2 linked regions of the Xenopus tropicalis genome follow. The protein of the gene in region 2 purifies or fractionates together with the protein of the main gene of each other region. This does not show direct contact. Links are inferred from orthologs where the notes say so. Each region holds a gene or a part of one and is shown on either strand. Other genes may lie near its edges.

Region 1 (3,821 bases), on a different chromosome or scaffold from region 2:
GATTGCCTCAACTTTGTCATTTTCAGCAGAAGCAGCAGGCATGGATGTACTGTTGGAGGCAGGTGGTGAGAAGGCAGAGTACAGAGATGCGCCAAGATTCACTGAAGGGACATTCTGAATAAAACTACAGCTGGGATACAACTTTTTGTGCTTTTCAAATGCATTGTCACCTTTCTTCCAATTATCAAGCATCAAGCCGCAGGTAAAGCACTTGACCTTGTCATCTTGCCCGGTGTAATAAAAACCAGCTTTTGCAAGGTTGCGCTCAGACACATGTGTATTGCTTGGAAAGGAGCTAAATGTAGAGAGACGGTAGAGTTCACATGAGAATTCCAAGGTAATTTTGCACATGCTTGGGTTTGACTTCAACCTCTTAGCAAGGTCTGGGCGTCTGTCCAAAATCTCATTTGCCATGGTTTGTGAAAGGGAAGGAAGGGGGCATCTTTCCTAGGGAGATAGTTACTATATTATCAGTTACGTTTCCTATTCTGCAACACAGTTCTAATAAAAACATGCAGTGAATGCAAAGATTTCAGTGCTACTGAACCACATCTAGTTAGCCAGCACAATCTTATGGTGGCATGCACACTGGGAGCTCTTACTTCTACCTACACTCTATTCTTTCTCTTATATACAATTCAGGTAGGATAGTAAAACGCTAGCTCTTCAGTGCTAAGATCTTTTTTAAGTTGATTGCTACATTTCATTGTAAGAAATACTCTATAATCCATTATGGCCATAAATGCTACGCTTTCTGTATTAACTATAACTAAAGTGGTGGTATTTAGTACCCCTAAGAAAGATGCCCCCTTCCTTTTGTAAGGGTTTAGCAAGCCATAGTATAATGTAAATAGCAGTAGAGAAAAACAAAATTCTTCTCCAGATCACCGCATTGGTCGGTGAGACATCAGCACCTAGAGGAGTGGGCAAAAGACTCTGAGTTAGTTACGTTTAACATATTTGTCCTATAAAAGGGTATTAATTAACAATGCTGGAATAACATATATTTGACAAATTATCAGATTTACAATCTCCAGCTCCAATCTAATTGTATTAGTGCCAACAGCTGCAATTCTTATTTAGGCAATTGCACATGGGGATTTGTGATCACAATTAAAAAGTCAATCTAAACACAAGTGTTCACGTGTTTAACCATGGGACTGTCAGCTGATGACAAATGTAAACAACACCCCAGCCTATCAGGGCTTTGTGCTACCCTCCTAGTGCCACGTGGAGAGACGCTGGGTCAGTCACCAACACAGGCCAGTAATGGTTTTCTGAGAAAGTCAGATAGTTTATTAATTGGATAGTAACATATTTCTAACAAATGTGGAAAAATGTCAATATCCCTTTACAAAGAAAGACTTTGACACTCGACTTTTTACATGCAACCACACCTTTTTTAACTTTTTTAACTTTTTTTTTTGACACACGGCAAACTTTTTCCACACCGAATTTCGCAAAAAAATCTGCCAATGGAAAAATGCAGTTCACCATAAATACATTTTCTGCAATGATATATTTAATCAGGACAGGACATATTTAATTACAGGTAAAGGTTATAACTAAAGGGTAATTTTTACCCCTGGTCCCACTATCAGTCAGAATACTCATAAACTAACTAGGAGCCCGTGCAGAGGCTCATAACTAACTAGCAGCCCGTGCAGAGGCTCATAGCTAACTAGCAGCCCGTGCAGAGGCTCATAGCTAACTAGCAGCCCGTGCAGAGGCTCATAGCTAACTAGCAGCCCGTGCAGAGGCTCATAGCTAACTAGCAGCCCGTGCAGAGGCTCATAGCTAACTAGCAGCCCATGCAGAGGCTCATAGCTAACTAGCAGCCCGTGCAGAGGCTCATAGCTAACTAGCAGCCCGTGCAGAGGCTCATAGCTAACTAGCAGCCCGTGCAGAGGCTCATAGCTAACTAGCAGCCCGTGCAGAGGCTCATAGCTAACTAGCAGCCCGTGCAGAGGCTCATAACTAACTAGAAGCCTGTGCAGAGGCTCATAACTAACTAGAAGCCTGTGCAGAGATCATTTAGGCTACAAGGTAATCTCATCCCTTATATTCCCAATATTAAAGGAGCAGTGAAACCCCCTTATCTGTTGAGGTGGAGGGGTTTACATCCAACTTTAGATACATTGTTAGAGCAATGCAGCCAGTCCCCTGGCTTGGGGAAAGGCACAGTGTACAAATCACATATGCATTTTGTGCATTCTCTCTAGCTATAAATTTTACCGTTTGGGTCAACGTCCCCTTTAACAGGCAGCCCATGGTGTGCTGCCAATAAACAGGAGTGACACTGCCATAAGAAACACAGCTGTCTCCCCCCCCAGAGAAAAGAGTTTTAGGCATGATGATAAAATCTAATATGTCTCCCCTCTCAGTGCAGAACTCAAGCACAACTTTACATTGCAGATTTCCTATGGGGCCCCAGAAGGGAAAGCCTGCAAACGCCTATCACGAAAGGAATGTGCTGCTGCAATAGCAAAAACAAGATCCCAAGCTCCTACGACCCACCCTACTCTGTTCCATACTCTGCCCGTAGAAATGGCTCAGGTTTTATAAACATACACGAGGCGATTTCGCTCGTTGTGCGATGAACGATTATATCGACAAACGATCGTATGGCGATCGAGTTCCCATACGATATGCCATCCACGGGCAACGATAATTCGGGAAAGATTTTGTCGCATCATTATCGTAAAATACCTACGATCGTACATCTACGTACGATCGAATGTCGTTGACTTCCGCTGCTGGCAATCGTGACATGCGCAGAGAACAATCGTTGAAAGACAAATGTCTGACACTCACACCAACTGGCAGATTTTATCGTTAAACGACCAAAATTTTTAAACCTGGCCGATCGATTTTGGGGACGATAATGTCGGCTCGTTTAGTGGGCCGACGATCGTTCGTACACCACCAACTATACGATAACTTAACGATAGCATCGGATCGTTCGCGAATCGGTCGTTTGTAAGTAAAAAATCGGTCCGTGTATGGCCACCTTTAGGGTGAACACACACTGGGCTACTAGTAGCAGCTACTTTTTCAAGGCTACTAAACTCCAGAAAATCCCCTGCCACAGACAATACTGAGAATTGCCTCTGCTAAAACTCACGTAAAGACAATTATCAGAGTTCAACCCAGATCCTGACAACCCACTCACAGCATTACATGGGAACCTAATTGGTTCATTGGAAGCACTCCGTAATGCACCGTATAGGAAAAAGAGGGACATAATACCTCTTCCAGAAGTACTTACTACCCCAATGACAGCATGGGCTAAATTGATAAAGCAAAACAGAGTAAACATCAAGGGTCATTCACTACAAATGCCACTATGGAATAATACTAACTTACAACACTTTAAGGAATTGCCTGATTTCCAATACTGGCCAGCCAATGGGGTAAAATGGCTCTCGGATGTGCTAATTAATGGTATCTTTGTCCAATTCAATATACTCAAAGAGAAATTGGAGAAGCCAAACTTGCAGTTTTATAGATACCTTCAATTAAGGCACGTATTCAAAGCGCAATTTGGTTCACTAACAATTGACACGAGCTCAACCCCATGGGAAATAAGACTCTGGGATCCGGGAGGGAAGAAACTCCTCTCCCAACTGTACAAAGTTATACTGAAAGTAACACCCTCCCCATTTGATAAAGCTAAAATGAAATGGAACCAGATACTCCCACAACTAAACGAGGAGCAATGGGAAGAAGCAACGGACCACATATACGATTTTCTCATAGCCACTAGAGATAGAGTTATACAATTCAAATTCTACCACCAAGTATATATCACCCCAACCAGA
Region 2 (4,568 bases):
AAATTATGTTCTCATCCCTTGAGTCAATGCCCTTTTTTATACAAGACGGCACTTTATTTGCTTTAGTAGCCACAGAATGACACTGCCTGGAATTAGACAACTTGTTATCTACAAAAACCCCTAGATCCTTCTCCATTAAGGATACCCCCAACACACTACCATTCAGTAGATAGTTCGCGTTTATATTATTTTCTACCAAAATGCACTTTGCACTTATCAACATTGAACCTCATTTTCCAGTTTGCTGCCCAGTTTTCCAATTTTGTCAAATTGCTCTGCAAAGCGGCAGCATCCTGCATGGAACTTATAGTTTTGCACAATTTAGTGTCATCAGCAAAAATAGAAACAGTCCTCTCTATGCCCACCTCCAGGTCATTAATAAACAAGTTAAAAAGCAAAGGACCAAGGACTGACCCCTGCGGTACTCCACTAACAACACTGGTCCAATTAGAAAATGTTCCATTTACCACCACTCTTTGTAATCTATCCTTCAGCCAGTTCTCTATCCAATTACAAATATTATGTTCTAGGCCAATATTCCTCAATTTGATCATTAAACCTTCTGTGAGGTACAGTATCAAATGCTTTAGCAAAGTCCAAGTAGATTACATCAACTGCCATTCCAGCATCGAGGTTCCTACTCACCTCCTCATAAAAGGCGACTAAATTAGTCTGGCAAGATCTGTTACGCATAAAACCATAATGGCACAAACTTATAGTATTGTGAACTGCAATGTATTCAAGTACCCTATCCCTTATTACCCATTCCAAAGGTTTTCCTACTACTGATGTTAGACTAACAGGCCTATAGTTTTCAGGCTGAGAACGGGATCCCTTTTTAAATAACGGCACCACATTAGCAACATTTCTAGCCATTAGGCTTTATTTAACACACAAGTATTAGATATTTTGCAATTGTGTGTTCAAATACAACCCAAAAACAACCATAAGTGCTAAATGTGTTTAAAAAAAATTCTTTTTACAAACAGAGTTTTTATTTACACATATGAAATAAGCTTTCACCACTATAACTGCTGGAAAGCAATAGTTAGGGGGCTTACCTCATTTATAAAGCTGGTACAACTAATGGCTGAATGACAAAAGTAAAAGATGTAGTCCCATACCACATGCAGAGTTCGGGAAACCCATATTGGGGGTTTTTTTTAATAACCAGGTCCAATGCCAGGACCGCAAACTGTAAAAACTCTGTGTTGCTGGTCCTTTAAAGAGAGATAATTAAAGCACTTTAAAGAAATGCTGGAATTTAGGCAGGTTTGTCAGAATTAAACCTGCCTAAATGCTGTGTTTACCATATTGTGTATTGGTCACTCACTTCATTTGTGCCACCAGAGAGTGGGTCCTGAAAATCTGACTCCCCAGTTGCATACATTGAAGAAAAGAACTAAATTGGCACATTTTCTTTTCACAACCCCTTATAATCAAATTATTTCCGTGTTTTATGGAGTCACATACCCAAACCATTCTTTTTACTACTGTTTTTAATATATTTTTAGGATTAAATTTTGCTTGTTTTAAAATAAGTGTCTGTCCCCTCATTTTTTTAACCACTTTCCTCTTCATTACTATTAACTTCATTAGTTCTGAGATAAACCACATATTGTTTAAGGGAATGTGCCCGGCCAATGCTGTATTTTATATATGAAACTTACATTAGTCTTTATTTTTATTAGCTTTTCAATTTTGTTTCTCTCCAGTCTGCTACTGCAAATGCTATCTGGTTGTTGCTAACCCAGGCAACCATAAAACAGACCCTCTAAAAGGCTTATACTTTATTATTATTATTATTATTACTTTAGCTTTCTGTTTGGTTCCTTGCTTACTGATCTTTCATTTCCTGTTGCTGCCTGGTTGCTGTTGTAATTAATCCCTAGCAAACAGCTAGCAATCAAATTTTCAAGCTTAAAAGCTGCAGAACATATAAGGATATAAAATAAAAAGTGTATCTGTTAATTGTCTCAGAATACTGCTGTTTACAGAAGCTTTAAAACTACATTTAGTTTTAATGCCTTTATTTGGCTATAATGTTTAAAAAAATCCCAATAAAAATGATTGAAACTAAAACTACATTTAGGATAAATTAAACCCTTTAGAGCTGTGGCACACAGGGAGATTAGTCGCCCACAACAAATCTCCCTTGTATATGACATCCCACCGGCGAGAATGTAAATCGCCGGTGGGATATCATACGCGGCGCATATGCCGCATATGCCATCCCATCGGCGATTAAGGGAGCTTTATTTCTCTCTGTATGTGTTCAGGATATATAAAACCAGAGGCTTACATACCTTCACTGCATGCTTTAAACTAATGGTATTTTCTGTGAAGCAGCACTTTTCACAGATGATTTCAGTATTTATGCCATATTTGCTAGTGTGCTAGTAGTCTTAGGGAACTGTTTATAGAGAGACTCTCATAGTTCCCCATTCTATCTTTTTGTTCCCCATGGGCGATCTGCAGAATACTTTCCTGTTTCAGCTAACCACCACCATGTACAGTGATCATATTTATCAAATATAAAAACCTACACATTTTTTATCTCTTATGTTCTGGAAAACGTATAGTGGTAGTAGGAACACCATTCCAGACTAATAATGCTTATTTGTACAAAGTGAAAGTAAACAGTAGTAAAACACAGACTGTAGAAAGATGTGACTCTGCTTTTGTGCGCAAGAGAATAACTGACAGAGAGTTCACAAAAACACACACTGTTCTGACTTCTGAGACTAACAATTTTAGTTCATTTTGGTTTGTTTTTAGTATTCCAATCTTCTCTTACCTTGTGGCTGCAGCTCAGAAGCAATAGCAGAAAAAGCAGCAGAAATCTCATTTTCCAGCAGAGACTGCAATACAAAGGCAGCAATTACAAAATGATATCAGCTACGAATCCTTGGGTTTGTTTTAGTCCGTAGAACAATTGTCCCTGGAGTGCTAGCTCAGCAGAACAGATGCCTTCTTTAGGAGTATCAAAGGAAAGCCCTTAGAATATCAAATATAAAAGCAGTTATATGTGCAGTGTCCCAGTCTGTACGGTCAGACCCGCCCTCTGCTGTATTCCAGAAATACAGAACCAGTTTGTGAAAGTGAAACTGGGGAATTACACAGGAGGAACTCTGAGCAGAGAGGGTGGAGGGTTCCTGTCTGGTGAGCCTGTAATTTAACTCTTGATTAGTTATACGGCATGAAGCCTAATGATAACTACGGAGTAATTCATGAAAAAATATATAGTATTTTGAAGCTGCCTGTATCACAAAAGGAAATTATCGCTGAACTTTTATCATTTATTGTTTTACTTTTGTAAGCAGGGATCACTAGGGTTCATTTTCCATTCCTCCCAACATTTGAAAAATTTAAAGAGGGACAAAAAGAAATGCAGGGCGTAGCATGACAAAAAATGTTTGGCCATGCCCATTTTTGTGACCACATCCCCTAAATGCCAATGCTATTTTTACAAAATTTGGCAGGTTATTTAAAGTTTGAACACATTTTTAAAGGTTTTAGGGTCTTGTTTAATGTGTTATTACATTGCCCTTTAATCTGTAAGTCTCAGTTCCCCCAAGAGACCTATTTAGCTTATTAGTTACAATTGTATCTAAGTACAGGTGTTGCTTGTTAATCTTTCTGGGCTCTCTTCCAAAAGCTACTTATTTAAGTTTGAGAAACGTTGTATCTTTTTTAGCATTCAGTGCAGGAGATCAAAGTGAAATGAGGGACTTTTCAGTAAGAATCCGGGACTGTGGGCTGTTAAAATCAGAAATGTCCCGCGAAAATCGGGACAGCTGGGAGCTATGCAATAACTATGTGTAAGGTAGGATGCAAAATGCAAAAAAGAATGCAATCTGACGTATTTTTTGCATTCTGCAACCCGCTCTGCACACTAACTTTATTTCTGCAGGTCTTTGTAATCCAAAAAGGATAACAGAGGCCTGTATCTGCCCCTATATATACAGTTCTGAGTTTGGTAGCACTGTATTTATGAGGGGTGGAACATAGGGTTACTAACAGGCTTGTTGAAACAACTTGCTTATCAATTAAAAAAAAAAAAGGGATAAGTATATTTTCTTAACTTTATTCAAAATCATTGTGTTGTTTAACTGTTGTGTTTATTTCTTTCAAAAGTATTTGCTGTTTTTGGTGCTAAATTACAAAGTTTGGTGAACTATAAGGCTTACAGCAGGTTTGCCAGAAGTTGCATTCCTTTATTACCCTCGGTTTGAGGTAGGTGGGGTTTGATTAGTTCACCTGAACAGACAGTATAAATAGAACCACTGGCACTCCAGTGGAGCTTGCTCTGGTGGTTGGTGCTCTGTAAGTGATTGCTCTTTAAGTGGGTGCTCTGTAAGTGGAGATATAAACCACATGAGTTACAAACTAAGGGAGTTTCAGACAAAGTACAAAGTTTGTATTTATTTCAAGTCTTTTCACATATTTTTGTTTAACTGTTTCTGTAACTGGGAGAATGAGTGGCAGCAACATTGAAGGTCTGACACAGTGCACAGCCTGCCACATGTATGCAGTTGTGGAGCAACAGTTCCAAAGTGCATACCTCT

What was found.
Region 1: the proteins of cd40 (region 2) and birc2 purify together in Homo sapiens (affinity purification with western blotting; 4 studies listed by BioGRID and IntAct, with this or other methods). This does not show direct contact. The link is inferred for Xenopus tropicalis from reciprocal best matches to the Homo sapiens genes CD40 and BIRC2.

What each region holds. Positions count from the first base shown.
Region 1 is NC_030678.2:162,212,357-162,216,177, forward strand, and holds part of birc2 (baculoviral IAP repeat-containing protein 2), read right to left. Parts: intron 915-3,821; 5' UTR 415-914; coding exon 1-414. UniProt on the Homo sapiens protein: Multi-functional protein which regulates not only caspases and apoptosis, but also modulates inflammatory signaling and immunity, mitogenic kinase signaling, and cell proliferation, as well as cell invasion and metastasis.
Region 2 is NC_030686.2:20,127,296-20,131,863, reverse strand, and holds the start of cd40 (tumor necrosis factor receptor superfamily member 5 precursor), read right to left. Parts: upstream 2,849-4,568; coding exon 2,798-2,848; intron 1-2,797.